Arabidopsis thaliana: one gene and its partners. The protein of the gene in region 1 binds, or shares a complex with, the protein of each later gene. Each region holds a gene or a part of one and is shown on either strand. Other genes may lie near its edges. The genes, in order: GIP2, SPC98 and AT5G17410.

Evidence for each region.
Region 2: GIP2 (region 1) and SPC98 share a complex: the UniProt entries of both Arabidopsis thaliana proteins name them as parts of the gamma-tubulin complex.
Region 3: GIP2 (region 1) and AT5G17410 share a complex: the UniProt entries of both Arabidopsis thaliana proteins name them as parts of the gamma-tubulin complex.

Annotation. Positions count from the first base shown.
Region 1 is NC_003070.9:27,739,425-27,749,688, forward strand, and holds GIP2 (mitotic-spindle organizing 1B-like protein (DUF3743)), read left to right. Parts: upstream 1-5,224; 5' UTR 5,225-5,389; exon of another isoform or gene 5,390-5,588; 5' UTR 5,589-5,594; coding exon 5,595-5,798; 3' UTR 5,799-6,005; downstream 6,006-10,264. Other genes in the region: AT1G73760 (RING/U-box superfamily protein), read right to left, coding at 1-76, 167-304, 406-504, 587-736, 1,156-1,737; AT1G73770 (coiled-coil protein), read left to right, coding at 2,791-2,992, 3,159-3,532; AT1G73780 (Bifunctional inhibitor/lipid-transfer protein/seed storage 2S albumin superfamily protein), read left to right, coding at 4,448-4,744; SARD1 (Calmodulin binding protein-like protein), read right to left, coding at 6,337-6,536, 6,645-6,741, 6,865-7,053, 7,136-7,296, 8,091-8,628, 9,288-9,366, 9,663-9,754. UniProt on the Arabidopsis thaliana protein: Required for gamma-tubulin complex recruitment to the microtubule organizing centers (MTOCs). During mitosis, modulates gamma-tubulin complex localization, spindle stability and chromosomal segregation. Necessary for gametophyte development and embryogenesis.
Region 2 is NC_003076.8:2,050,161-2,060,752, forward strand, and holds SPC98 (spindle pole body component 98), read left to right. Parts: upstream 1-6,367; 5' UTR 6,368-6,580; coding exon 6,581-8,835; intron 8,836-8,947; coding exon 8,948-9,209; 3' UTR 9,210-9,699; downstream 9,700-10,592. Other genes in the region: AT5G06670 (P-loop containing nucleoside triphosphate hydrolases superfamily protein), read right to left, coding at 1-40, 335-490, 617-766, 898-1,050, 1,135-1,242, 1,373-1,477, 1,671-1,775, 1,941-2,003 and 9 more. UniProt on the Arabidopsis thaliana protein: Gamma-tubulin complex is necessary for microtubule nucleation at the microtubule organizing centers (MTOCs). Required for the positioning of the gamma-tubulin-containing complex on pre-existing microtubules and for the proper organization of cortical arrays.
Region 3 is NC_003076.8:5,725,011-5,735,602, reverse strand, and holds the start of AT5G17410 (Spc97 / Spc98 family of spindle pole body (SBP) component), read right to left. Parts: upstream 4,994-10,592; 5' UTR 4,953-4,993; coding exon 4,869-4,952; intron 4,754-4,868; coding exon 4,695-4,753; intron 4,580-4,694; coding exon 4,531-4,579; intron 4,228-4,530; coding exon 4,093-4,227; intron 3,660-4,092; coding exon 3,528-3,659; intron 2,990-3,527; coding exon 2,906-2,989; intron 2,829-2,905; coding exon 2,730-2,828; intron 2,631-2,729; coding exon 2,539-2,630; intron 2,257-2,538; coding exon 2,184-2,256; intron 2,110-2,183; coding exon 1,957-2,109; intron 1,869-1,956; coding exon 1,749-1,868; intron 1,663-1,748; coding exon 1,609-1,662; intron 1,465-1,608; coding exon 1,381-1,464; intron 1,265-1,380; coding exon 1,190-1,264; intron 1,104-1,189; coding exon 993-1,103; intron 760-992; coding exon 634-759; intron 523-633; coding exon 415-522; exon of another isoform or gene 4-414; intron 1-3. Other genes in the region: ER-ANT1 (endoplasmic reticulum-adenine nucleotide transporter 1), read left to right, coding at 5,499-5,762, 5,850-6,221, 6,304-6,588; AT5G17390 (Adenine nucleotide alpha hydrolases-like superfamily protein), read right to left, coding at 6,915-7,211, 7,317-7,402, 7,489-7,963; AT5G17380 (Thiamine pyrophosphate dependent pyruvate decarboxylase family protein), read left to right, coding at 8,883-10,286, 10,369-10,592. UniProt on the Arabidopsis thaliana protein: Gamma-tubulin complex is necessary for microtubule nucleation at the microtubule organizing centers (MTOCs). Required for the positioning of the gamma-tubulin-containing complex on pre-existing microtubules and for the proper organization of cortical arrays.

The DNA of each region.
Region 1 (10,264 bases):
ATTGATTCACACAGTCGATATGGAACCTGTGCCCACATCGTAATTCCCCTACCTCGTCCTTCGCCTCATACTCGTCCTGTCAATAGCCAAAACATCAACATTCTTAAGGAACAAATCTGTTTTCTACTAGTGATTACTTGAGCAATGAAGCCAAAAATGGACTTACTTGACAGATGATGCACTTTCTATCAGCAACTGTTGTATCTTGCCGGCATGGTTTGACTTTCCGAAGACAACTTTTGATCTGTTTTTCAGTAAGTCCAGTGTTCACATGCCCAATTCTTTCACCAAGCTCCAAAAGTTGCTGTTTTTTTTAACAACAAAACAAACACAACAACACTCAAGAACCTAGTGAAATCATCATCAGCTTCTTTACTAGTACTTTGTGAGAAAGGCACTACCAACCTCGTATGTCATGTTATCGACATTGAGCCTCATGTCACGGAATTGATCGAATGAGCTTAATACTCCTCCCATCACAAAACCATTCTGCATCATCATCATCTGCAATGAAACACCCATATGTAAGAAAAATACATATTGGAACAAGCTCCATATGAAACTTAAGTCAAAAGCAACACTCTACCTCAGCGAGTCCATCAGGGTAAGGCAGTCTTAGATGACGATGATATCTATCAGTCTGCTCAGCCCGCGATGTCAAAAAACTCGAATCAGAATCAAAATAAGGATTAGACTCTTGATTGAGAGATCGTCTAGGAAGAAGAGAAGAAGAACCCTGCAATGTAACAGTTGAGTTAAAAGATTTAGGAACACAAAAATCCAAACCTCATACTGAAACTACTAGAAAAACTTCATCAGTTACAAACAGACTGAAAAAAACTTACTTTTAATCCACAGAAGCTTTTGATATGATATCAAAGAACAAAGCCTAATTTTGTTATAGATACGAAAAGACGATAAACCTAAATCAAAACGGAAAAAAGAAAAAAAAAACTAATGCTTGCTAAGTGTGCTAACTACTAGATAGAGGCAAATCAAATATTCTATAGATATTATAAACTAACTTAAGATATTAAAAACCCTAAATATTTAAGCTAAATTTCAATAGATACTCAAAATCAAATTAACAACATACACACGCAAAGAATAATAAAAATGGAAACTTTAGGATTAAAACAGAAAATGTAAATGTACCTCTCTATGATTATTACTGTTACTATTGGTTTTATCTCCATCGATTTTGCGTCTCACCGGAATATTCCTTCTCGGAGGATCTGAAACAACTGTGTCAATGGAGCCTCCGACGACAGCATCCGTTGAAAACCCAACTCCAGGACCACACCAAACATCAGGAATCGCTGCGCAAGCGACGCTACTACTAGTACTAGCTTCGCTCAAGATCTTAATCGAACCACCATTGTAGCTACTACTACCCTTGTTCTTGTTCTTCTTCTTCGTCTTCTTAATTTTGAAATTACTAGCATCCCAATCCGCGGAGGAGCGAATCACTGCCGGGACTGAAACTTGCTGAGATGCGGAGGTTGTGCAGCCTAGACCACGAAACGACGCCGTTCCGTTGGGTTTCTTCTTAGTAGTTTCTGGCAAGAGGAAGAAGGAAGACATGGCGGATTTAGAGACGCGGCTAGGTTTGGGGATTAGAGGTTCGTCGGCGGTGGAAATGGGTGGGAGATTTCGATGATTCCTAGGTCGTTGGAGTCTCATGTGTTGACCGATTGTTGTTGAAGAAGATGAAGAAGGCTCTGCAGAAACTGGCATTGTGTTCTTTTTCTCTGTGAGAGAGAGAAAAAACAAAAGAGAGATAGAGGATAATGGAGACACAGGGCGAGGAAGAAGGTAAGTGAAAGGGCTTTCTTAAGTTGGATTAGTGAAACTAATTTAAGTAATTAGTACGTTAACTAATCAAATTCTACTTTTTCATTTATTCTCTAGTTTGTGTTTGAAGTCTACAAGTAACCAAATTAGATATTTTCTTTCACATGTCACATACTCACATGTAAATGTGTGGTTTATACTTTACTTTAGAGTTTTAGGCTTTTAGCACTGTTGCTATGTTTGAAATTTTGAGATGTGAGTGTAAAATAGGTATTTGTAGCTATAATAGATTCTCACCGGTCTTTGTAGAGTTGGACCCCTCTGTTTTTTTTTCTTACTTCCTATCAAAGTATCAAGATTTGACTTGATTAAAAAAAAAAAAAATTGCTTTGGGTTCACTTTTTTGGTCAGAAACGAAGATAGATTTGAGGATATTTATTGTCTTTTGCTTGTATAAATAGAAAAGCTCTCATGTGTCAACTTTTACTTTTTTTTCTTTGTCAGAGGTATTTCAATTTTTATTTATTTCGAGGTATGAAAAAACAAAGAAACATTAGAGGATCACAAGTCACAGGTTAGTAGTATATTTTTGTTTATACCGCCACAAAATTATAAATCTGTATATTTTATACATAAAAGAGTCTGCCACACACAAGTATCCAAAGAATATTGGTCCGGATTTGCTGGATCGAGATTAAAGGAATAATAAAAGGTGATAAATCGTCGAAAATATTTGGTGCGTCACATAACTGATTAGTCGTCCAAATTTGAGCGAAAATTGAAGTTTGGGCTAGAATGGGCTGGGCCTGTATGTGCGCTGTTCCATAAACGACAATGAAAACGGACAGGTCATCTCGGGCCGATCCGGTCTGATCAGTTATGAAAACCGGAAACGAAGAAGAGCGGTTAATCTGTTAACAGATTAAAAAAAAAAACTATTGGCTCTTGATTCAAATCCCTAATCCTCTGATAAACCCTAGTCTTGAGGCGAATCCCATGAGACGATTTCTGCAGAGAGTTCCCAGTTTACTGGCTCGAAATATCCTTCACTCACCCGCAAATTTCCGCCATTTGAGAATCAACAACCCTCGTGTTGTTGTTCCTCTCTTCGAACGAGCTATTTCCCGGTTCGTCTTCTTCTCTTCCGAGTCCGACTCGTCGCGTGGTTTCAGAACTGAAGAGGTTCTTTCTAAAGAAGGTGACATTTCTTCAACTCAACTTCTTTTGTTTGGTTCTCAAGAAAATGTACAGTTTTGAATGAAAAGGAAGAGAATTTTGCAATGACAGAGTTAGCTGATCAGCTCATAATTTTTCATGTAAAGATTATAATTTTGCTTACTTTCTTAATCCAATTGGTATTTCAGAGCTGAAAAAAAGAATTCAAAGCTTTTTGGATGATGGAAATGAGGATGCTATACCTGATTTATTTGAGGCATTGATGATTAGGAAGTTATCAGGGAAGCACGATGATAGTGATGATGAAGTGATGGATGTGGTGCGTAAGTATCCAGTTAACGATGCACATAAGGTTGACGATATTGACTCTGATATTGAGAGTGATGGCCATGGTGATTCGTCTGATTCAGATATTGAGAGTGATGACTTGAGAGATGGTGATTCGTCTGATTCCGATGTAGAGTTTGATGGTTTCAATGATGTTGGCTTGTCTGATGTCAATATTAAGACTGATGCCCTGAAAGCTAATCGCTCGTCTTATTCTTACTCTGAAAGTGATTAACACATGGTAAGTTTTGGATTTCGCACCATACGGTACTCGCAAAGAGAACATTTTCTTCTGTATTTTACAGTCTCTTATTTTTTTGTCACATTTTGCATTTTCTACTTGTATAACTTGATTAAATGGATATACAAATTATTTAGTACTTTAGAGATTTTCTAACACTGTGCTTGTTAGAGACTATTTAATCTTTAAGCGTGTGATTGCTTGCTTAATCATGTGTCTTGGGCTTTGTTTATCCTATTCATTATGTGCTAAGTATGAAAACCTTGGTGGCTGATACCACATGGAGAATATGGATTCTAGAAAAGTGTCTGAGTAAACTTAATATATACTGCAGCTTATCTTCTTTTATTCTTTCATGGCCTGATATATGTTTAACATTGTGATCAATGAACTCTAATTGGTCTTGGTTTTGGGCCACAGACTTATGCACTACATTGAAGATTTTGAAAGGAAGCAACTGCCTAGTGAATGGAAACAGATCAGTTTTTGGTCCATGTTGGCTGTAAGTTCTGCCTTTTGAATATAATTAGAAATTTAAGTCATATTTTGTGCTTAGTACAATAGTAATGAAGTAAAATATATAATTATGAAGGTGTTCTCATTACTTTGTTTAAGTGTCAACAAATTCATATACCTTCACTGGGGGTAGCCGAAAGCTGACATCTATTTTGGTTACACGTGGTTTCATAACTTCTCCAAAATGGTGCCTAGGTGTTTTTATGCTTTGTCCGAGCCTTTTAGAAAAAAGTTAATCTCTTTTAGACATATCGAGATCTCCTGCAACCACAAACTCTCGTTTGAGTAACGTGACTCACTCAAAGACATTTTCTTCTATAAATAGAACGAGAGAAACCCACTTTAAACTCCAAACCAAATATCTTCTTCTTCTTTCTATAACTTAGTGAGACAATGAAGGGTTCTTGCACAAAACCAGTGTTTTTCACTTGTACAATCCTTCTCATTTTAATTGTTGCCCAAGAAAACAGAGTCGCTGCAGTAGATCCATGTAATCCTGCGCAGCTGAGTCCATGCTTGGAGACCATAATGAAAGGGTCTGAGCCATCGGATCTGTGTTGCAGCAAGGTGAAGGAGCAACAGCATTGTATCTGCCAGTACTTGAAGAACCCTAACTTCAAATCTTTCCTTAACTCCCCAAACGCCAAAATAATCGCCACTGATTGTCATTGTCCGTATCCGAAATGCTAGTCCCAGTATTTCGTTCTAGTTTTCGATGTTCTGTTTCTTGCTTTCAAGACCAAAAAAGGTGTTCTGTTCTGTTCGCTCATCATCGATGGTTTTTCTACTTCAAGTTTCTTACTTTTGAGTTTGGCTTTCCATTAATGTGTTTGTCGTCAAGGAATAAATCTTGATCATCACATATTCACATTGATATGTTTTTAAGAAATTTCGGATAATTCGACTAACATAAGCTACTTAAAAGTTAAAAGTTCCAATTTCAAGGATATCACTACAAAATAAGTCTCTAAATTTGGATGCAATTTTGTCAATTTTGGCCGAATTAATCATAACAAGGTCTTGAATCCCTTGATTCCGACAAAAAAGAATCCCTTGATTAAAACTAGTTCAGAGACTTCGATTGTATTAAAACCGGCGGATTTTATTTAACCGACCGATTTGATATGAACCAGTAAATATACTCTGAACCGGCCAAAGGTTTATTTTCTTAAAAAAAACAACCCTAGATTTCTAAATTCTAATTGTTGGCCCATTTTCGCCTCTTCTTCTTCGATCACGAGATCGAGAATCGTTTCTCTCAATTATCTCAAGCTCTAAGATCTCACTTCTTCTCTCTCAAACTCGACGCCGTTCGTTTTCTCCGTCGATTAATCGGTTCGTTTTGTTCCTTAACCTTTTTCCGATCTAATGTATCTCTTGATCCGTCGGCAAGTCTCCGATTTCCACTTTAAGGGTTTCCATTCTCTGTACATCCATGGAGATCCGTACAAGAATAGAGTAGATATTCATATGTAAATTGAATCGTTTCCGAAATTGATATTTTTTTGTTCTGGATGATGTTTGGTGGTTTCAGAGTATTATGAATCAGGAAGCAGCTGAAACAGCGAGAGAGTCACTGGAGCTGGTGTTTCGGATGTCGAACATCTTGGAGACAGGTCTTGATCGACATACTTTGTCTGTTCTTATAGCTCTTTGCGATATTGGTCTTAACCCTGAGGCTCTCGCTACTCTCGTCAAGGAGCTTCGTAGGGATTCTGCTACAACAACAACTACGGTTGATTAAGAAGATGCCTAATCAAATAGTATCATTCATGCTTGTTTTCTAAGTTTCAATTTCATTATGCTATTGATGTGTAAATTAGGGTTGGTAAGGTAATTGAATAGAGAGTTTCAGAGACAAATTGGTAATAAGTATTTGAGTCATCCCCACTCAATCCTTTTGAGAGGCTTTCTTTAAGTAAATCACAAAGTTACCCTCATATTCTTGATTTCTTTTTTTAGTCAATACTTTCATCAAGTACGTACATATACAGCGGAATCAATTTTTCTAAAACGTAAAAACGTAAAAATTTGTTGAACGTGAATGGTAAAAACAACGTTTTCATACAACTGTGAAAACGTGAACAAGTGGTATACCATCCAACTAAAAATATAACTCTAAACTTCACACTTTTATGTACAATCATGATCAGCAGATCTAGAATACATGTTTTACCATCATGTACGTAGTAGTAGTTTAAAGTTTAAACCCTTATTTAGAAAGAGTCCAATCTCGGCCAAGGCACTATGGCGTGTCTTCCAATACTAACGTAGATGAGGATTTAGAAAGGGTTTATATGATTTTGAGACGAAGATCCGGTGAAACATATATTGAATTCCGCTGGAGTCGTTATATACCCTTCGTTTACTATCTCCAAATTGTTTGTAGATCTCTCTTGAACATATCCGTTTTGTTGATATGATTTATCGATTTCGATGTTTTGGTAGTGGCTCGCAGCATATTGTTGGTCCAAATCATCACCTATATAATCAAAATTACATTGTTGTAACATACTATATAATCAACGATGTTTCGCAATTATAGAAAAACTGAAATGGTGTTTATGTTGACACTATTTTAAAGTAATACCTTGTGTCAAAAGAGCAGCCTCGTTCGCTGTTCGTTCGCCCACTTCTAAAAAGTTCCCCTTTGAGTAAGCATCTCGAACTAAGTTCTTAACGTAGGGCTGCAACAAAACATTACCATAGATGAATTAAAAAAATAAATACAGTTTCTAACTAATAAACAATCATTGAGCTATCAATAATTGCTTAACTTCTTTAATAGAGAGAAAATGACCATTCAATACCTGGTTGAGGGATTCTTGACTAGAGAGAACATGACCATCGATAAGTGCTTTCATAACTTCGCATATCGGATTCAAAATCATGAAAAAATTCGGTCCTCTAGAAATGTATAACTTATTTCCCAAAATACACTCTCTAGCATGTTTCAATGTTACTTCCCACTTTCTATCAGACATTCCAGGCCCCAGAATCTGTACATCAACAAACCCCTATTCCTATTAGTTCTCTAATAATAATAAAAATTTAGGGGTCAAATAAGCTAAGAATTTAAACCTGACGGAGTTCGTCGACGTCAACGACGGATAGTTTCAAAAAGTCTTGGACAGTGTTGATGTGGCGAGAGGAGAGCTTCTTGTGAAAGGCCCCATCTTTGCCTATCTTCTCTAGCCGCCACACTTCGTCTTCTAACATTGGTGGGTGATGTTTCTTGTACACTTCACCAACCCCAAGTTGTACAAAACAAAACTATTTAGAATTATATCTAGTTTTCTACTATGTATCTTCTTTATATGTATTCGCTTTATGCATGTGTTTGTTGATTGTTATAAGATTCGGAAAATATACAGAGTATTAATTAATACGATATAAGCATTGATTGACCAAAGACTTATAGGCTCTTGTATAAAGTGGGATAGTCGTTTGCATACGGTCCACATCGAAAATACTTTTAGTAGTTTTTTTCTAATTAAGAATTAAAAATTGAATGTGTATATATATTAAGACAAATTAAAGCAAGTATAGTTAATATTTGTAGCCAAAAGCCCAAAACATATCATGACAAGATACAACAATTTTGTAATACCCAAAAAATTTTATATTTCTATACTAGTGTTTAATTAGAAAAACTAAGATTCTTTTTAAGAAGATAAAGCCAAAAGCATCAATATAGATTGATATGTTAATAAATTTGAAAACGAAATTATGCAAATAAATTTTGACGAAAACAAAACATCATTTTAATGGATTTCTGATGCACATGTGTTGTATAAATGATTATCTTAAAGGTTATGTATGATTGATAGTAGGGTAATCCATAAGAAGATGCCAAATGTGGTCAGGTCAAAGATAATTGAAACTAGTGATATGTTACTATCACATCCCCTAGTGGAGTACTGCTTAATGAATATATGCACAAAACTCATTATATATGATGCATAGATTTATTTGTTATATATTCATTAATTTCTAATTAGGTAAAATATTTAGTAATAAAGAAAAATAAACTTACATTCTCCACGATGATCTCTAACAACAATCGCTTCAGTCATCGCTTCACAAACCACAACGCCTTGACCGCTACTCCCTTTCGCAACTTTCGCACCGATTCTAAACTTACGGCTACGAATCCAACTCGAATTGTCTGTGAACACAATTTCTCCGATTGTTGCAACGCCGTTTCTCACCGTCACACTTACTTCTCCGGCAAGTAACGGCCGTTTCCCATCTCTTTCTTTGATGATGTTACTCTCAAACTCATCACTAGTCCATTTATCACCCGAAGGAAAATCTCCGTGAAGAGCAACGATGTCTAGTTTGATTGGACGGTTGAGATTCACCGGCTTGTTTGAGTCATCAACAAGGATAATCTCAAGTGGATTGTTGTCCACGTCACTGATTTTACTCCCTGTAAATATTGGTGTCATTAAGTTCTTACGGAAAATTAGCTTCAGTGTCGGAGTAGTCGCCTCCGGAGCTTCGATACGGAAAGACGATGACCGAGATAATCGAAATCGTTTACTAATTCCATATTCCACTTCTTGTCTTACCTGGTCACGTTACCAAAACGAGTAGAGTTATAAAACACTCTTATCTGTTTTATATTAACAAATAATTTGATATCCTTATTACACAAATTAAACAATACATACTAATAAATTAAATATGTAGGCCAATATATAGATCTTTTAAAAGGTACTAGCATATATGTGTGTGTGTACGTGTGTGGACCATTATTTTGTCTTTTATTTCTAGATATAGTTGATTGAAATGTTAGGTTAGAGAGGTCTTGTTTATTAATAATACTAAAAAGATTTATAACTTTGTAAATATTTAGTACTATCTTAATAACGTATGTGTATATATATGATATAAGAATGCAACTATGCATGTACATGCATATGTTTGTTACCTAAAATGTATATAGTATTAGCAACATGATCGAAATTTTCTTATTTTATCAAGTTCCAATTCGCACACTAGACATCGTCAATGCTAGACTAGTATATTTGTATGTTAAATTACACTTGTTACTTTAAGTATGTGTAGTTGATTAAACATGGTAAGTATGAAATTCTAATTCTCAACTCGTTCATTTGAAATATCCATGTATATATATATATATATATATATCCACTACATTAATTAGAAGTTAGAACAAGTATTTAGAAATAACAAAATAGAAGTGGAATTATTATAGTATACTTACAACTTTTCTAATAACGGGCTCTAGGACAGAACGAAGGGTGTTTTCTGAGATCAATGCTCCAAACACACTGGAAATTGGCCTGCAAGAAACAAAAAATATAACAAAAATTTATCAGAAAAAGGTGAATAGAAAATAAAATCCAAGAGTAGTAAGATCTAAAGGAGATATTATTTTAAGGATAAGAGAGAGAGTGAATAGAACATATACATAAAATACAAGCATATATTTATATTTAGATTTTAAGGATAAGATGTGTAAGAAAAAAAGAGGATTGAACACTGAACATGTTCCAAACAAAACTTAAGATTTGTAGAAATGATTCATCATAAACACAATACAAGAAAAAAAGAATGAAAAGTTTCTGAGAAAAATTACGAGGCAAGGGATGGTAGTACAGATTTAATCCGTTTCTCGGACTTATTTTCTTGGTCAGAATCAAGATCTTGAAATAACCTCTTCCCTGCCATGGAATTGTTCTGGTGAGTTGTGAGAGAAAGAGAGGGAGAGTTAGAGAGAGAGCGCTTAGATCAAAACTAGGTTTTGTAATGTTTTGACATAATCTTATACGGCGATGATATTTATATAGTTTTAGTCTTTAGTCTCACAAAAACCAAAAAAAAATAAAAAAAAATAAAGAAAGTTCGAAGAACGACAAAGGAAACAACCTGGCAATATCCAAAGAAGTCCGAAGTCTGATCCACGCGAATAATCTATTTATGGCGTCATAAATAGGGAGACTTTTGACGTCAACTCCAATTTAGAAAGCTTCCTTTGTTGACAAATGGACGGTTCCGATCTTCCCACCCGATTGGGTTTTAGATCTAACTGCTAGTATAAAGCGTGATCCATATGCCACATGATTACTTCTTGTAGAGAGAGCACTACGAGTATACGATCGATCCGGTCCGTTCTTCGAAGAATTTTTGTTCCTTTCTTTATCTTGTAAGAATATTAACACTATTGATATCATCATATCA
Region 2 (10,592 bases), on another chromosome or scaffold:
TGTCACTGAGGCTTGATCCCCCCAAACTGCTGTCTTTTTTCTGATAGTAAACAGTAATGAGAGTAAAGGTGGCAAAAGAGAGACCCCCAAAAAAGAAAAAAGAAAATCTAACTAAGAGGAAATGAAGCTGTGTGATAAGGAGCATAATTTTTATAAAGCACATACGAATGCTAGATATATGATGCGCAGGAGACTGTATACAACAGTATAGTAAACAGTAATGAGAATAATGAGAGTAAAGGCTATGATGTTGAGGAAAATGCTCCGATTTAAACAAGAGAAGCCAACGGTAAAAGTTTATCAAAGCATATAAATTCTACAATCAAATGTGTACCTTAATTTTCAACCAGTTCAGTAGGCCATGCTTCCTTGTCTTCTTTTCTTCTATAAACGCATCATCTATAATCTCAGGAGTCCCTTCACGAGAAACATACAATTCAAGGTTCTCATCATCTGTCAAGTCGCGCCTCTTATGCGGTAGGTAAGCAAGCTGGCCATGCATTATCAACTAAGATCAGCCAAAAAAATAGTAATTGGCAGACATGATTTTGGGAAATGAAGAGTTATGTTTTATATTGTTTTGTAAAATAGGTCTAGGCTAGAAAAGTGATTCTACCTCCTCTTCTCCGAATGAGTGTCTCCTCCGAGGATCAGCACGATAAGAAAACCGCGATGTTTGTGGAGTTTTATTAGACACGAGAATTAGTTTTGTCAGCCTTTGGATTCGACTCAAGAGAGCTGCTTTAGCATCTTCCTCTTCTTCTAGCTTTTATAATCACATCAAAAGAAAATCATGCAAAGCAGATTTCAAGTCTCCACAAACTGAAGCTTGGTACAGTAAAAGTATCATTGGTTTGTTGAAAACATTTAAACAGGGGTCAATGCAGAAAAACATACTTTCTGCTTCAGGAGAACAATGTCGATATCATCTCCACTGATATCCTTTAGCTGAGAAACTGGTTTAATTCCTTGTTTAAGCTGTTCCAGCTCCTCCTTGAGTTGGCGAATCTCGTATTGGTACTTCTTGATCAATGATTTCTCATCAATTATCTGTAGTTTTATAAGGTTAGAAATCCAGAATGAATCTTCAGTACAGACATGCACTAAGCTAAAAGGATAGATGTAAACTAAGACCTTGTTCTGTGCGGCTTGAATCTCAATATGCTTTGCACGATGAGCAAACTTCAATGTGTTGTGTGTTTCTTCAGAGTTGCTTGATGCAGGTGTCACTGTACATATGAGCTATCATATTCCAGATGGAACAATCAATCAGTTAAATCGATCATAACAATTGTTTTCTGCTGCCTATGTTCATGTTGTGTGTGTCATTAATTGGAACAAGAAGCTAAAACAGATCTCTGACAACACTTACAGATACACGTCCATGACCACTCAGTGAGGACTCAAGCAGTCTGGTTAATTTAGAGTCCCTATATGGTACATGACTAGCCCTTCTATCTGTAAGCTTTGATATTACCTACAAAATTGCAAAAGAACGTACCAACTTCAGCTTTTGGGAGATTACTTAACATAATGACTGGAAGGCAAAAAAAACCAACCAAGCTTTTCAGCTGTAAAGGAGGTGGAAAAAGCCAAAGAAGTTCTTAAATTTCAACTAAATTCGAAAAACTATTGTTGCTTGGGAAAAACAGTGAGAACCAAGAACTCACGGTCCCTAAAGTTAGCAAACTTTTATTTATATAAGACCCTTCCTTGCGCCTTAAACCGCTGGTTTCAGCTTTTGAGCTCTCAGAACCTGCCAGGTCAATGAGGTTCTGCAGATATAAGTGAAATTATGAGCAGTTAATCAGTTGTTCACCTTTAAGTGTTCAAAGAGTGCAACAATAAACAGTTTATATAGTTGATTATGCTCCAGAGTTGAAGAAAAAGTAAGCTATAACCGAACATAAAATTACAGGATAAGAACAAAGATGTTATACCAGCTGCGAGAGGTGTACTGCTCCACCTTCATTATTGTCACCCAAGGGACTACTCTCTATAGTCTGCAACCAAACCAGTTATAACATCTTTCAAAAACTTTACTGATAGATATGAAAAGACAGCCAAACTGTATACTTACATTACTAAACAGGGGAAAGCAAAATCAAATAAATAAATCTATCTATGCTTTGAAAGAGAAAAATAAACATACCAGGGTAAACATTGTATGGCTTCGGCTGCTGAGCAAATTAAAACTTGTGGATCCAATATGTCGGTGCTCTGTCATCAAACGAAAATTTAATCAAGATGACTTGCATGATAAACATAAGAATGAAGAAAAAAAGTAGTAGATTTAAGAGAAGGATTAAGAATGAAGTGAAAATACTAGAATCAAGAAAGAGATGCTAGTCTTCAGAATTGCTATCTCATATCACATAAAATACCCCAACTGGTAAAGGAAACACTTTCTGACAAAGAAATCTTATGAAAATTTACATGGAAATGCCTACCTTCTCCAGCTGCTATGAGAGAAAGCACATGAGCAGGGGACAGAACAACCTCTTCTTTAATCCCTTCAATATAGGTTCCCTATAATCAGCAATAAAGAGAGAATCAGTGCAGAATTTAAGAGGGAAAGACACTTAATGCAATAGAGGTAGTCATGTTTATTCTAAAATTCTTAGCCCAACCAATAGTCAACAGGTACAAATCTAGTATACTTGAATAAAAAATGTGATCCAGAACATTCAAATATAGATAGATAATCATGCCACTTTGCACATTATTTGCAGGATCTCAGAGAATTTCATTTATATTAAAATGGAACAAGTACTTTCATGCATCTAGCCGAGAAAAGATGTATCCTCTAATTAAACAAAAATGGTGTGCTAGGATTTAGGATTCTATAATGAATATAGTCCCAACAAAGATATTATGAGACAGTGAAATCCGCGCTAAGCATGTTACCAACAGAAAGTAAATAAGAGGATCAAATGCTGAAACAAGTACCTGCTCATCTTCTCTGATCCTCAAATTTTGTCCTGCTGGATTCAACAAATCATTGACAACCTGAAGCAAAATGAACCCTAGGGATATTAAGAAAAATCAAAACCAGAATCTGACTATCAATCAACACCACTGGTAAAGTTGACGGGAGGGAAGAAAAGCAGGCAGTGAGTAGCACCTCGTTATAAATTTCAAAGTAGGAAACACGTAGGAGAAATTCTCGCCTTGGTGTCTGCGAGAAAAATGAAAAGTGTGATTTAACTAGCACTTAGGCCAGGACATTCGACTAATCAACATCCTAAGAAGTACCTCTTGTATAATGCTGAAAGCATCTTTCACGGCTAATGGTATTATACCAGGAGATCTTTGGTTCCCCTGACATTTGAACCAAACAAAACTTTCTTCATGAGATAAAATAGTTCTTATTTCATGCACATCTTTAAAGGTAAACATGGACTCTACAATGAAGTGTGTAAGATCATCCGGCATTAGGGCAGGGCCATGTATTGATCATGGCTGTCATAAGTGAAAAATTATAGAAGGTTGCAAAGTGTAAAGCAAAGAACTAACTTAAAGAGTGCAGCCATATGCTAAATTTAGTAAAAGAAAAGGCTTTCTAGGGTCAACAAAGAAACCCTAACTAGAAGGAATAGCCAAATATCTAATATAAACGATATATCTTAGGATTCAAACATCGAGTTCTATTGCTAATCATTATGGCTACTAAAGGAGAGAAACTTTGTTCCTGAACTACTCAGTGATTTAGCCAGAAAAGAAGGAAGAGGTAAATGACTCTCTGACAGATAAGCATTGTCTGGGATGACACATTGAAGTACATTGTACAAGGTAGTAACCTAATACGTTCTATTATAATAAGATGAAAAGCAAGAAATAACATGATTAGTGAATCTTACATGCATTGTATGAGTTTTCCCACTGCTTGTCACTCCATATGCGAAAATGGTCCCTGTGGTTGAATTAACACTCAAAGTCACTACAATAAAATCAAATTGGCAAGAAAATCTAACTTAAAGTTGTTCTAGAGACTAGAACAAGCACTAGATAGAGTTTGGCAACTCAAAGATCTCATTTTCTAAATGAATGGTCATGCAACTGTTCATGGTACTGTAGCTCGGGTAAGCTTGATACTAAAAATATCTTTTTCTCTTCTAAGAATAAAGTCTTAACTAGAGAGGGCAATAATAAGTGTTTAGTCCATACCATTGACCCCCGCCATAGCACCATTAACGACATGCTGAGCAGCAACATCATAGACATTGCGTGTAGTCGTAGTAGGCCCGAAAACACGATCTGCAAGAAAGGACAACAGAAATTTCAAGAAAAAATATGGCAGATTGGACCTTGATATCTAGTTTAATTTAGGTCTTGATTCATGATGCATGAAACTTCAATCCATTCCACAGAACAAGATTTATGATGGTTACAGAAACTCATGAAGTCATGAACACTAGTCAAACTGTTAAGACTAACCATAGGCATAAGCTATTGATTGATTATTCTCATTCCGCACTATCGTTTCCCCATCTGCATACCATGCAATCTCCTCTCCTTTCCGGATTTCCCTTGGACTAAGTGAAGCATAAACCAATGTCAACAATCCACAGAACAAACATATAAAACTAAAGTGTTTGAATCCTACACAAAAGAAATCAACATATTCACCTGAGTGGACGAAAACGCACAGTGACAGTGACATTTTCTTTGGACTGCAAAGGCTTAGGTGGTAACTGAGGCTTGCTTCGAACCGATGAAGAAGTAGGGGAGCTATGGCTATCTACAGACGCCTCTTGATAAAGTTTTGAAGACGAGGTTGTTGAAGATGCAGAGGACTCAACAGTCTTTAACTTGCTAAATCCACCATTTCTAGTCTTTGATACTTGTTTAGATCCCATCACAAAACCAAATTCAAACTTCGAGTGACTGAAAAAATGAAGAAAGTACAAAACTTTATCAAGTACAGACTGAAACCAAGCTAACGGAATTATGCTCGACTGTGTAATGAGCTAAAGATTCCTTTTTTTTTGTCAAACTGAGCTAAAGATTCCAAATTGTCATAGAGCAACTTGCAAATTGACAGGAAAGCAATGAAATTGGGAGTTTACAAAGCTCAATCGGTAAGCGAGTGAGAGAATCACAATGAGAGGAATAAGAGAATTACGGAAATGCCACGAGCTTCGAACACTTGGGTTAGGTCGAAAATTGCAATAAAAGAGAAGAAGAGAGGCAAGTGGGTACTAACTCAATGTAGCATCACCGCCGCTAAAAGCCGAATCGCATGCAAAGGATTATGATGATGCAAGAGAGAGTGAGTGATTACGTAGAAGAAGAAGAAGAAGAGGAACTTAAAGAAGAGAAAAGCATAATCATCATTAAAAGAGTAATTAGTTAGATGATTGCGATTGTTGTGTAAAAGAGTGTTTACTTTTTAATAATAATCTCTCGCTTGCCTTTGAAGTTTGAAGTGATAATACCCGAGTTTCAATTGTTTATTCGTTCTTCTCTTAAACTGTAATCACCAAAACATCATTAAGAGATAAAGATAAGAGAAGAATCGTATACGTACACATGTACAATTGTACGTATTTGCCTTCACGGATTTTTCTATGTCATAAATAGCTATAAACTTCTAAACTTTTGTTGTTGAATCAATTATGATTAGATAAGGAAGTAAATTGGTGTGAAAAAGATAAAGATATGGAAATGATAGTAAAGTAGTGTATATATATAAATGGTGTGCAATCTGTAACAAACAGAATATAGAGAAATTAATTAGTGAAAAAAGTAGAAAGTGATTGTTACAGGGAATATTTTTCCACATACGTAAAAATAGGTCTAATATTTTTACTTTTTAATTCCGATCTTGTACTTTTCTTTTTACAATTGATTAAAGTGGAAATAAGCTTCCTTTATTTTCATCTTCATTGATGAAAATAATGAGTAGAGAAACATTTTACTACCTAAAATGAGTAGAGAAATCATTCCTCTATTCAGAGAACAAATGTCTAAAATGAACTGTTTTTATTATTTTGCTCAATAAATACATAAATTTGGTAGATAAAACCAAATAATCTTTTTTAAATGCTAGTTAATTTTTTAAAAAAGTATACATTTTTATTGGTACCTTTTATTGTGAATTAAATATTATGAGGTTTTTTCATATTTATATATTTCTTTATTAATTTTAAAATGGAAAATTCTCAAAATTCCATTAAACAAAAAAATTCTACGTAACATATCAATTAACTTGTGAACTTTTTTTTAATTCAAACATTATTTTTCTCCGTTGTTTCAAATAATATATTTGAAATAAAACTTATAACAAAAAAAATGAGAAGATATTTTGCATAATGTTTTTTTATTCCAATGTTTTTGGATTTCAACATATGTATTCAATTGCCCGCCGAGGAAAAATAATTACATAGCTCTAAAGTCCAAAAGAAGCCCAATCTTTTTTTATTCGTTCACTCACTACTCTCTTCACTCGCCCAAACTCTGCAAAACCTCTTTCGATTTCAAAAATCAAATTCACCAAAAAAACTTCGAAGAACAAAAAAAATCCAAAAAAAGGTGAAATCGAAGAAGAAGAAAAAAAAGGCAAAAGCTTGAATTGATTATGGAAGACGACGATCAGCAGAAGGCTGCAGATCTAGTACAAGAGCTTGTTCTTCGTCTCGTCTCACAAAACCCTCAAACCCCTAATCTCGATCCCAATTCTCCCGCCTTCCTCAAAACCCTTCGTTACGCTTTTCGTATCCTCTCTAGTCGTCTTACTCCTTCCGTCCTCCCTGACGCCACCGCTATCGCTGAGTCTCTCAAACGCCGTCTCGCTACTCAGGGTAAGTCCTCCGACGCACTCGCTTTTGCCGATCTCTACACTAAGTTCGCTTCCAAAACTGGACCTGGCAGTGTCAATAACAAATGGGCTCTTGTTTATTTGCTTAAAATTGTTTCTGACGATCGTAAATCGGCTATAAATGGTCTTGATTCCTCGGTTTTGTTACCTAATTTGGGGATTGGTGATACTGGTAATGGGGTTTTGAGCCGTGGAGAGGCTAAGAAGAAGGATTGGAGTAATGGGGTTTTGTTGGTTAGTAAAGATCCTGAGAATTTGAGGGATATTGCGTTTAGAGAGTATGCCATTTTGGTTAAGGAAGAGAATGAAGTGACGGAGGAGGTTCTAGTGAGGGATGTTTTGTATGCTAGCCAAGGAATTGATGGGAAATATGTCAAATTTAACAGTGAAATCGACGGTTATGCCGTGCAGGAGTCTGTTAAGGTGCCTCGAGCTACGAGGATTATGGTTCGTATGCTCTCTGAGCTTGGTTGGTTGTTTAGAAAGGTTAAGACTTTTATAACTGAGAGTATGGATCGGTTTCCAGCTGAGGATGTGGGAACTGTTGGGCAAGCGTTTTGTGCGGCGTTGCAAGATGAGCTTTCTGATTATTATAAGTTGTTAGCTGTGCTAGAAGCGCAGGCCATGAATCCTATTCCTTTGGTTTCTGAATCAGCAAGCTCAAACAATTACCTTTCTTTGAGGAGGTTGTCGGTATGGTTTGCGGAGCCTATGGTGAAAATGAGACTGATGGCTGTTTTGGTTGACAAGTGTAAGGTTTTGAGAGGTGGGGCGATGGCTGGGGCTATCCATTTGCACGCACAGCATGGTGATCCGCTTGTTCATGATTTTATGATGAGTTTGCTTCGATGTGTGTGTTCTCCGCTATTTGAAATGGTGAGAAGTTGGGTTCTAGAAGGGGAGTTGGAAGATACTTTTGGTGAATTCTTTGTCGTAGGTCAGCCGGTTAAAGTCGATTTGCTTTGGAGAGAAGGCTATAAGCTCCACCCAGCAATGCTTCCATCTTTTATTTCACCAAGTCTAGCTCAGAGAATTCTGAGAACTGGGAAATCTATAAACTTTCTTCGTGTTTGCTGTGATGACCACGGGTGGGCTGATGCAGCTTCAGAAGCAGCAGCTGCCTCTGGGACAACAACTAGGCGAGGAGGTCTCGGGTATGGTGAAACAGATGCACTTGAACATCTTGTAACCGAGGCAGCAAAGAGAATCGACAAGCATCTGTTGGATGTTCTATATAAGAGATATAAATTTAAGGAGCATTGTCTTGCGATTAAGCGTTATTTACTACTTGGTCAAGGTGATTTTGTCCAGTACTTGATGGATATTGTAGGACCCAAGCTTTCTGAGCCAGCCAATAATATTAGTTCATTTGAGCTAGCTGGGTTTCTTGAGGCTGCAATACGAGCATCAAATGCACAGTATGATGACCGTGACATGCTAGACAGATTGAGAGTGAAGATGATGCCTCATGGCAGTGGAGACAGAGGCTGGGATGTATTCTCATTGGAATACGAGGCAAGGGTTCCATTAGATACCGTGTTTACTGAGTCTGTTTTGTCTAAATACCTGAGAGTGTTCAATTTTCTCTGGAAGTTGAAACGGGTAGAGCATGCTCTTATCGGAATTTGGAAGACCATGAAACCAAATTGCATCACTTCGAACTCATTTGTTAAGCTTCAAAGTTCGGTGAAGTTGCAATTACTCTCAGCCCTGAGGCGGTGCCAGGTCCTTTGGAATGAAATGAACCATTTTGTTACTAACTTTCAGTATTACATCATGTTTGAGGTATTGGAGGTATCATGGTCTAATTTCTCAAAAGAGATGGAAGCTGCTAAAGACCTCGATGATCTCTTGGCAGCGCATGAGAAGTACCTCAACGCCATTGTTGGAAAATCTCTTCTGGGTGAACAGTCACAGACCATCCGCGAATCACTTTTCGTCCTGTTTGAGCTTATATTACGGTTCAGGAGTCATGCAGATCGTTTGTATGAAGGAATTCACGAGTTGCAAATAAGGTGTGTTTTGTCTTTTATATTCAAACAAAAGTAGACCTTAAACTATTGCTCAAACATTTTCCTCTGATTTTAGGGTCACAATTTGATCTCTAATATCACCGATTTCCTGCAGATCTAAAGAATCAGGACGAGAAAAAAACAAATCGCAAGAGCCCGGTTCATGGATCAGTGAGGGTAGGAAGGGCTTAACACAGCGTGCTGGAGAATTTCTACAAAGCATGAGTCAAGATATGGACAGTATTGCAAAGGAATACACATCGTCACTTGATGGATTCCTATCTCTCTTGCCTCTGCAACAATCTGTAGATCTCAAGTTTCTCTTTTTCCGGCTTGACTTCACTGAGTTCTACAGCCGATTGCATTCCAAAGGATAAGAAAGTTGAAAGAGTATCAGGTTTAGTTGAAAAGCATATTGCACAATCGCAAGAGAAGAAGACATTATCTACGTCTTTCACTAACCGCTGACTGCAGCATGGGCTCTCCTGAACCAGGGATGCAGAGGTTCTTTTCTTAAAATCTAGGTGCGTGGGAGAATCTGTTTCTTATTTAGAGACTGCCTCATAGATTTTCTGTCTTTTGCATAGATTGTTTTTTCAATGGCTTGTTTCAAAGTTTAGGATTGGGAAACAGATTCTTTGTGTTGGTAAATTGGGGAAGGTTTGTGTTTGAGTTTGTGCTATAAGTCTGATGATCTCCAGCTTTAGTTTTTTTTCTTCTTCTGTGGTTCACTGATTTGTATGATTTGTTTTATGACTTGGTTGATATAAGAAGGAATCAGTTGCTTCTTCATAATGTGTATCTCCATAGTGTAAAAGGCTCCAAACTCTGAATTTTTCACTATCTAGAAGCTTCTGTAGCCACGGCCTGAGATTGAGCACAAGCATTAGCTCACAGTGATTTTAATCCGCAAGCCTTTCTCTTGCAATTAAGAAGAACCTTTGTGATACTCTTCCTCTCATCCACATTGATCTATCTCTGTGTGAATGAAGCATATGAACAACAAAAAACAAGTAGCTTTTGGCAAGAGTTACAGTCTCAAAATCTAAAGCAATCGTGTCCAATTTAAAAGAAAAAACAATTCACGGTTGTCGATTAATTTGCAAGTGCAGGCCAAACTGGAGGTTAACATATAAGGAAAAAAAAAAGGTGAAAAAATTCGTCGCCTGAGAGATTCGAACTCTCGCGGGGAAACCCCATTTACTTAGCAGGCAAACGCCTTAACCACTCGGCCAAAGCGACGATGATGCTCAATTAATGAATTGATTAATTTAATCGTTAATTGAAATTATTAGTATAAAATAGAAATCAAAATGTGAAATTTCTTCCAAAACATTAGCTTTTCATTCACTCGTAGAACTTGTAATAGAGTAGCTCATTTACTTGCCAAACATGGTTGTCTTCAATGTAACTACTACTCTGATTATGCTTGTCCTCCTAATTGAATGGTTGAACAATTGTACCTTGACTTTAGCCATTCTTAATTAACAAAGCTCAATCTCGACGAAAAGAAAAAAAAATGTGAAATTTCTTGATTATCAAAAAAAGGAGTTTTTAAGTTTGAAATTGTATAAAGAAAGAAAATAAGAAAACTGACTGTACATATTAATTTTTTTTAAAAGAAAAAAAAAAGGTAGGAAATGAAAAAAAAGAGAGAACTAGACAAATTTGTTGATCAATTCTCTAACTTCTTCGATGACAAGCCATCCTTTGTGACCTCCAATCACCTCCTCTTTCATCTCATCTTCCTTCCATAACTG
Region 3 (10,592 bases), on another chromosome or scaffold:
AGAGAGGCAATAGTTGCTAAAATAAACACCAAATCATCTCATAAAGAATTATGTCTTTATATACTTCTGGTGTGATTTCTCTCCTCTGTTCATTGATAGTGTACTTATTTCTCCAGAATCACGTTTTCAAGAATGTATTTCTCGAAAAACACAGTTGCAAGAAGTGCCTACATTTGTAAGTATGGTTTTTACGACTACAGAGATATCTGGATTCAATATACAGAGTGTATGTCAGCAATTCTAGAAGTTAGTTTTCCAGAGACTTACACCGCAAAATCACAATGGAAAACAGGATCTATGAATAGACAATCAGAATCTTTAAAAAACAAAAAAATATTCAGATTCCATTCTATTAGCAAAAAAAAATGTTTTAAAAAACAAACAAAACAAAACAAAAAGAACATTCAGACTTGCCTCGAATGTAAGATAATGTAGAAGGCTACTGATGAATTTAAGCATGCTACGGCAGAGAAGCGATGATCTAAGAATTGCTGTACCCTTAGAGTTCATAGACCGAATCCCCTGTAGAATTTTCACAGCAGTTTGTTAGCGAAGCAAAATGATTAAAATGGTTTTAGAAGAAACCAAAACTGAAACAAATTACAAGCTACACAATATTATATCAGTCCTTACTTGATGTATCTGCCAAGCACCACAAAGCTGGCGTTCCACATGTTTGCAATGAAAAAGAAAGCGGAAAATTAACTGGTACTTTGACAATGCTTTCTTTGATATGACAATAGATAGTGGCCATTGAACCTGAAACACAAAGCCACAACCAACAATCAAACAATTGAGTAGCCAATCGAATATGCATTTGTCGATTACTTATATAAGTATGAATGATGACTCTAGAAATGCATTAGTAGTTATATATAACAACCATTAATAGCCATTAAGCTGTGTTATTACTTATATATATCTCGACGAACAAAATAGTTCGAATCCAGATACAAACAGGTAGTTGCAGACAAGGCAAGAAAGGAGCAGACCTTGTAGCTCAAGGAAAATGTCTCTAGACCAGTGATGCTCATTGGGTCCTCAATACTATTGCTATCAGTGTCCTTGTGCATTCCCAAAGTCGTAAGCAATGAAGCTCGATCCTAAGATATGAATACAAAGTGAGAACATATAATGTACAAACTCTGTAAATTCATCACATCCAGGAAAAGACAAATTAACTGCTCACCACACAACAAGTCAAGTCTTCGTGACGAGGATCTGCTGCAGCCGCTGTGGTACGTAGAGCAAGATCTAGCAAAGACTAAATAATACACATCCATTTAGATTCCAGCAAACAAGTAGAGGCCATAACGATTTAATAATGGTAAGAAGCTTTGTCTAATATTTTGAATCATGCTCTAAAGGGGAAAAAAGTACCTGCAACTTTTCAACAGATATTTCATGCACTTTTTTGTTGAGCTCCTCTCGAGCAATGTCCATAAAATGAACCAAGAAATCACCCTGTAGTTCATTACATTGTTATACCAAAATCAATGACTGAAGAAAACAACTCAACAACAGACTTTTCACATTGATAAATTTGTGCCTAGGAAATTCTGAAGAACTCTGAAGATAACTGGTTATTCATGAACAGAACCAGCATACCTGGTCGAGAAGAAGATAGTGCTTTATAGATCGAAGCCTTCCAACAAGGTCATACTGAATCATATACTGATGGTCAGAGAGGTGTATTGACGAGGAACGACATCAAAGAAGCAGTCATCATAAAACAAAATAAGTATTACCTTATCCTTGATGAGATTCACAAGCTCTATACTGGCAAATTCGTGAGCAGCCTTTATGCATTCAAGATAATGATGATTTGACCCAAATATTGTTAACTTAGATCTCTCTGATATGGGAACCTGTTAAAAAAAATCAGCCAATGTCGGGTCCAGTGTCACAAACACTGTTAATTGTATTAATAAACAGGAAATTCATTCACAATCATACCTGAACATTGTGCCCACATTCTCTCATAACGTTTAGATATTTCCCTGTGGTCAATATTGTTGCAGCAATGTTTGCTAGGAAGCCAGGAATAGTATCCTTAAGGCTGTATCTTTGGCTCCAATATTTAGCTGTAGAGTCCTGACTGAGGCTCTCCTGTACAAAAAAAAATTGACATTGTTAGATCAAGCAATTAACAATAGTGCAGACGAGCTGAGCAATCGAAGTACCTTTTTGAGAGACCTGTTCTCGGCAATGAAAAATTCCCCATACGGATCATCAATGATCCCTTCATAGACCCACCTTAATTAAACACTATTTAAAGTTAGTTGACACATCAAAGAATAATAATATAAGCGATCTAGCAAATAGGGTAACCATGTACAGATCTGCCAAACCAAAAGATAACAAACATGTTCGCTAATCACTCCATCCAAACAAAGGAAAAACATAGTCACAGGTTGGACTTAGATTTATCTGAGCATTCCAAGCAATAACAAAAGGGAAAGGGCAGAGATTGTAGCACAATGTTTTTTTTATGGGAGTCTAGTTACGAGCAAGAAAGAAAGAGGCATGGTAATCAACCTTTCCAATATGCTTAGGTATGCGTTGCTTGCACACTCCGTCATTTTCTCTAACAATGACCTCACTGAATTATCACCAGCCATCGCTTTAGCCTAGGCATGATAGTCTTCAAGATTAGGACATTTAATAAAAAAGCTAATTCTAGTACCAAAAAAATCCAAAAACTTTTAATGACCAAAGCAGGAATCTACCTGACTTTGCAAGAGATTAAGAACACCAGAACCCACAAACTGCTTCGTTGAAGCCTGCTGAATTACTGCAGCCAATGCGCGCATGGATCCCATCATGGGCTGAGAGATACGAAAAACAATCGATCAGCATAATGTTTACGTAACTTGTAGCTTGGATTATTTGAAGAAAGACAGACCTGACAGTAAAACCATAATCCTTGGATAGAAAGTCTTCCAAGTCGAAATTGATGTTCCAATTGTGCCACCATGGCTTGATAATCCTGGTAAAAGAGAGGATGGTTAATACTAGTGTAACAATAGCAAAGAATGTTGTCAAATTACCTCAAAGCTAACATAAAATGATATCCTCAGTCCAAAAAATGCATGACATGTGTTAGACACGAAACTCAAGATGTGAAATGGAAAGAAAAGAATCAGACTATCAGTTTATTCAATGCGGCAATAGTAAGAGAGGGATTAGAGAGACAGTAAGAACTTGGAACAAAGAAGACAGTAAGAGCTATATGTGTCATCTTAGATATTCATACATATGCATATACACACACTCAGAAATGTGATAAAAAAACACCAATTCAGTGGACAAGAAAGAAACCCAATAAACAAACTAAGAGCATTCTAAAATGAGCTTTCCAAGTTCATATTTTTAGTTTACTGAGTAAATCCCCAAACTTGACTATTAGTTAAAAAAATCCATATCCAGTTCGCAAAATCCCCCATCTGTAACAGAAAGGGAACGAAAAATAACTCAACAAACAATGGATCACAATTTCCACAAAGCTAGCAACCTATATCACATACAAGGAGGAGTGCCCTGAGTGCAGCCGCGAATGCATGGTTAACTAGCCCGTTCTTGAACTGCGAGCTTGACTCCACAAATTGGTCAATCAGCAGATAATATTCACATAAAGGAAATATTCTTTTCGCCAATTCCTGCAAAATTATTTGCAACGGTCAATATATATGAGAAGAGCCAATTAAATAAAGAATTACAATGTTAATCCGTTATAACATCTCTAAAAATCCTATTCAAAAGAGAGAACCATCCTAGACATAACATAGTAATGCATGTGTCCATTTTATTGGACTTCGGAGATAATTGAACTTTCAAGAAGTCAGAACACCAATGAAATGCATCAAGTTTCATAAACATAAATATACACTTTGCAAACATCACTGTAACAGTCTCAATATGTGAAAGACTTTGTACATACATGATACATATGCACTAATTCCGGTAGCTCTAAGAAAGAACAGATCAAGCATGGTTAGAAATCACAGATTTTTTGCAGTTGACTACTGTAGACCATCATGATAAAAATGTTTGGGATAGGAACCAAAAGTTATTGTGTTGAGTACTACTTACCTGTAGTGCCAAATCCATTGATGGATCAACTTGGAAAGCTATACTATCCTCCTTCCCATGGAATCTTTTAATTGAAATATATCTCCCTTCAATTCCAACCAACGCAGATAAGAGATCATCAATGACGATAAGCTCCTGCATGCCAAAAGGAATAAAAAACAGTTACTGAAATGGACATAACAAAAGAGGTGACACCAATTCTAAACCTAGGCTAGGAAGTTCCACAATTGTTTAGCTCAGGTCAATTATCCTAGTCTATGCCACGAAAACGAGAAACCAACTTCACCTACAATGATGCCAACTTGTAAAAACTACACAACTCAAACCCAAGCTTTAAGGACCCCAACACTAGTTTCAAGGTTACATAATAACAATCTCACAGAATAAGTGGAAGCCAAGAAAAAAAGGGACAGACTTGCTTTGTAAAATAACACAAACCTGAACCGGTGTGTCATAGCAGCCAATTGCCTGCTCTACTCCAGAACTGCTGAAAGCAAAATATAAAGGTCAATGACTCTTTAGAATAAGATGAAAAAGGAACAGACTTTGGGAGGTTAAAACAGAGATGTATTACTAATTTTTAGTATAAAATTTCAAAATACCTAGACGAGTCTAAAGTAAACCTCTTAGAATCAGCAAACTTGGAGCTTGCCCTCGTTTCCTGAGATAAACCCATTGTCAAAACTACTTTTTCTCAGAAGTTACCAATGTTCACAATTAAATAGAATTTGAACGAATTAGAGAACTAAAATCAAGCACATCTGAAGATCGAGCACCTGATGGAAGCGACCAGTGAGAAATGGTCTGTCTTGGTTCCAACGAGGAGTCGTAGGGCACGAGATTGGCGTCATTGATTCCATTGCTTCGCTCCCAGTCTCTGGAACTAAAAGTTTAAACCTTTATGAAAAAGAAGACACAGATCAGTCAGACAGTCACCATATACCGAACCATCTCCGGTTTTCCTTAAAATGTCCGGTTTTAATTGAACCAGAAATTTCCAGATCCTGGTTTCAAATTCGAAATTAAAAAAGGACAAAACCATTTTTTTAAGTAAAGAAAGAAAAAACCAGCCATTGCTCCTGCCCTGTCCTCCACCTCCAGCTTTGAAATTCACAGAAAATGATTATCTCTTTTCTATTTTATTGGCTTCTCAAAACGAAATAACGAAATCGCCTCCTCTTCTTCTCCTCCTCGACCTGGAAATCAATCTTTCGCCGCCGAGTTCTTCTCTCTGCGGCGGAGAATCAATTAGCAATCTCCAGGTTTTTCACTTCAAAACCTTTCCTTTTATTATCAAATTTTGTTCCTTTTTAGCTTTAGGATTTGATATTTCTAGAACCCAGAAGAAACTCTTGCCCATAACATCTCTATATTTATTGGTATAGAATTAGGTGAGGGAAAAGAGGATGGCTTTGATCGGAAAATCCGAGAGATTCTCTGCTGATTTTGTGATGGGTGGTGCTGCAGCCATTGTTGCCAAATCTGCAGCTGCTCCAATCGAAAGGGTGAAGCTTTTACTGCAGAATCAAGGGGAGATGATAAAGACTGGACATCTCATAAGACCTTACACTGGTTTGGGTAATTGCTTTACCAGAATCTATAGAGAAGAAGGTGTTTTGTCCTTTTGGAGAGGAAACCAAGCCAATGTCATACGATATTTCCCTACACAGGTACTACATTCCAAGAACCCTTACTTTAGATCAGCGTGCTGAGGTTTGTGTTAGATTCTTATTGTCACTAAATTTAATTGCTTTTAGGCTTCCAACTTTGCATTTAAAGGTTACTTCAAGAACCTTCTTGGATGTTCGAAAGAGAAAGATGGTTACTTGAAGTGGTTTGCTGGAAATGTAGCTTCGGGAAGTGCTGCTGGAGCAACAACTTCCTTGTTTCTGTACCATTTGGATTATGCGCGGACCCGTTTAGGCACTGATGCAAAGGAATGTTCTGTTAATGGCAAGAGACAGTTTAAAGGGATGATCGATGTGTATCGTAAAACTTTGTCAAGTGACGGTATTAAAGGTCTTTACCGTGGATTTGGTGTGTCAATAGTGGGAATCACTCTTTACCGAGGAATGTATTTTGGGATGTACGACACCATCAAACCCATTGTGTTAGTCGGTTCCTTAGAGGTAATGTCATCTATGTATGCCGTTATTATTTCTTAATCTATAGCAGAAAATAGCTAAAAATGGTTCTTTGATTCCGTGACAGGGAAACTTCTTGGCTAGTTTTCTATTGGGTTGGAGTATTACTACCTCTGCAGGCGTCATTGCTTACCCTTTTGACACACTTAGGAGGAGAATGATGCTTACATCAGGACAACCTGTTAAATACCGGAACACCATTCATGCCTTAAGAGAGATATTGAAGTCGGAAGGGTTCTATGCGCTATATAGAGGAGTTACTGCGAACATGCTTCTTGGAGTAGCAGGAGCAGGAGTGCTTGCGGGATATGATCAGCTTCACCAGATTGCTTATAAGCATTGGGTTCAGTAGTTTTGGACCAAACCCGAAACGATGACAATGAAAGCTGAGCTCAAAAAGAGAAGGTTAGTAAACACCAAGAAGTCTCACTTGCTTTCCAATGTATTGTGTTAATTAACAGAATCTCGGAATCATTAACCGATTGAACCAGCAGAAGATAGGGAAAATTGTTCATAGTTCTTGTGCAGTAACATTGTTATATCAATAATCCAAGAAAGGCCTATTTGATTTTTGTGTACTGGAGCAAGTTTGTTTCATGTATAAAAGATGAAATAGGTGAAAAAATTTTAAAGCCTTATGAATGATACAAACACAAAAGAGGAAAACTTGCGTTGTTGTCAAGCGAGAAGCCAGAAGTTTTTGTGGCGTTTGGTGGTGATTAAGTAACCGCCGAGCTTGCGGTTCTTGGGTTTAACCGCGATTGTCATGCAAGAGGCGTTTTCGAGGCAGTATTTGAGAACACCTTCGTGTCCACGGCGTCTCTTCCACGCCCATCTCTTCAATAGCCTCCAGACCGGAGGTTTCTTCTCTTGTCCAACCACTAAAAGGCTCACTTGTTGTTTCTTTGATTCTTCAACTATCTTCTGCCCTTTGTCTTTGTCTTTCCCCTCTAACCTCCTTATCTCCACTTCTATCTGACATTCATAAAAGAAATCCACACGTCGCCAGAATTTGATCAGAACAGTAATAGTGTAGCTTTCATTATATGTATAAACAATCGAATACCAAGTGTGACTCACCCCGGGTCGTTTCGTTTGGCACAGTTTCTTTAAAGTATGGACCAATTCATCGGTTTTCACCTCGCGTTTTCGGTTCTTCCTTTTACCTAAAACTCAATCCGAAAAACCTCATTAGCCAAACCAAACAAACCTTAAACAAGAAAATTGACAAAGAGGAGAGAAAGAGAAGAACTTTTTCTAAACGGTTTTGCAAAGTATAACAGAAAAAGAGTGTCTTGTGGTTGTAAAGTATGCGTAATAGCCCATTCTAAAGCTCCGGTAGAAGCAAGCGCTTTATCAACCACCACCATTACTCTATTCCCGCCTTCCGCCTCCTCCTCAACCGCCTCAACCGCTGCCACCGCCTCTTTTTTTCCTTCTCCGCCTCCAATGTTAAAGCTCTTGGCATCATCTTGTTCTTTTTCTTCTTCCTCCTCTACAATTACTTTGACTCTTTCTTCTTCCTTATCTTCAACCTCTTCACTTTCATTGTTTGCTTCTTTGGTGTCTTCTTCTCCGGATCCGGCATCATCACCATTTTCGCCTAGAAACTCGATTCTTTGGTCTCTCTCTATGGAACTCGAGTCCGGTTTGAACCTAATCGAAGGTGAATTGATCCGGACTCTTCTTAGACTCAACTTGGCTGATTTCTTGAGCGATCTCGCCATGTTTTTGTTTACAAAAAGAACTCAAATGGGAACCTTAGCATTGGTTCTTGAATGTTTTGAGCGTATGTATACGTGAGGAAATTTTTTGAGAGAGGACGTGCGTGCCATTAAAGATGTTTGATTGTTAATGGTTCCACACGTTGTTGTTTTTTTCTTTTTGTCAAGCTCTTCTGTTTTCTTCATTAAATTAAACGAGTCCAAGTTTATTTGATAAATTGTTAGCTCAATCGATTGTGGAATTCACTACCGTTGGAGAAAAAAAAATTTATTTTGTAGACTCGCAAAATCATGAGAAATCTTTGAGTGGTGCTCTAGTTTTGTCGTGGTCAAAATCATCCACTTTGTGTAAAAGAACAAATCCAAATTTGATTTGTTTTCTTTGCTAACTACAAAACAATTCTAGTGGCAGCCCTCAAGGGTTATACAAGGTCACTTGTTCCAAACCATGAACTCATAAATTTATCATTTTATCACATCCAAATCCAAATTATTGAGAAGATTAGGTAAGTAGGAGTCGCTAGTGACCAAAACCAAAGATATATTTTATTGAATCACTAAATCACAATACCTTTGTAAATTAAGTTATCTGTCATACTACTTTGTTATTGAATAATGTAAGTTGCCAAAAATAAAGAAATTCATGTATAGTTTGGTCGTATAATCAATTTGTTGAGAATTTTACTATTTGCTACGTAGATAACTTTTAAATTAGCAAAACACACATAATTACGTGTACAAGTTTGTAGATAAAATTTTCAGAGAACACACAAAATGCAAATAAAGAAGTCAATAATAGGCTAATAGTAGCATTAATGCAAAACACGTAATCACAGTAAGAGTAAAACACAAATACAAAAGGCTATATAAAGAAACTAAAGCAAGTAGAAGAAACTGAAACTTTGAGCAAATCCAAGAGAACATGGCGGATAAATCAGAAACCACTCCACCGTCAATTGATGGCAACGTTCTCGTGGCCAAGTCACTCTCTCATCTCGGCGTAACCCACATGTTCGGCGTCGTTGGAATCCCCGTCACGTCTCTAGCTAGCCGAGCTATGGCTTTAGGTATACGTTTCATCGCCTTCCACAACGAACAATCCGCTGGTTACGCCGCTTCAGCTTACGGTTACCTCACGGGTAAACCGGGTATCCTTTTAACGGTTTCGGGTCCGGGTTGTGTTCATGGGCTCGCGGGTCTTTCCAACGCTTGGGTTAATACATGGCCGATGGTGATGATCTCTGGTTCTTGTGATCAGAGAGATGTTGGTCGTGGAGATTTCCAGGAGCTTGATCAGATCGAAGCGGTTAAAGCTTTCTCGAAATTATCAGAGAAAGCGAAAGATGTTCGTGAAATCCCTGATTGTGTTTCTAGGGTTTTGGATCGAGCTGTTTCGGGTCGACCCGGTGGGTGTTATCTGGATATTCCGACTGATGTGTTGCGTCAGAAGATATCGGAATCGGAAGCTGATAAATTGGTGGATGAGGTTGAGAGATCACGGAAGGAAGAACCGATTCGTGGATCTCTGAGATCGGAGATTGAATCGGCGGTTTCGTTGCTGAGGAAAGCTGAGAGGCCGTTGATTGTGTTTGGTAAAGGAGCTGCGTATTCGAGAGCAGAAGATGAGCTGAAGAAGCTTGTTGAAATTACTGGAATACCCTTTTTACCAACTCCGATGGGTAAAGGTTTGTTACCGGACACACACGAGTTCTCGGCGACTGCGGCGAGGTCTCTTGCTATTGGGAAATGTGATGTCGCGTTGGTGGTTGGAGCTAGGCTTAACTGGCTTCTTCATTTCGGAGAGTCGCCTAAATGGGATAAAGATGTAAAATTTATATTGGTGGATGTCTCTGAGGAAGAGATTGAGCTAAGGAAACCTCATTTGGGGATTGTTGGAGATGCTAAAACTGTGATTGGATTGTTGAATAGAGAGATCAAAGACGATCCTTTTTGTTTAGGGAAGTCTAATTCATGGGTGGAATCGATTTCGAAGAAGGCGAAAGAGAATGGTGAGAAGATGGAGATACAGCTTGCTAAAGATGTGGTTCCTTTCAATTTCTTGACTCCTATGAGGATAATCAGAGACGCTATTTTGGCTGTGGAAGGACCGAGTCCTGTTGTGGTATCGGAAGGAGCTAATACAATGGATGTAGGAAGATCTGTTTTGGTTCAGAAAGAGCCAAGGACAAGGCTTGATGCAGGAACTTGGGGAACTATGGGTGTTGGTTTAGGTTATTGTATTGCTGCTGCTGTTGCTTCTCCTGATCGGCTTGTTGTCGCTGTTGAAGGAGACTCTGGTTTTGGCTTCAGCGCCATGGAAGTCGAGGTAGTAAAAAGATTTACATACTTATTAGCATAATGTGGAAATTGTCTTTTGTCTGAACTTTTGTCTTTAATGATGATTGCAGACATTGGTTCGATACAATCTTGCTGTGGTGATTATAGTCTTCAACAATGGTGGTGTCTACGGCGGTGATCGAAGGGGACCTGAAGAAATCTCCGGTCCTCATAAAGAAGATCCAGCACCAACATCATTTGTTCCTAATGCAGGCTACCACAAGCTCATTGAAGCCTTTGGAGGCAAAGGTTATATTGTGGAAACACCCGATGAGCTTAAATCCGCTCTCGCTGA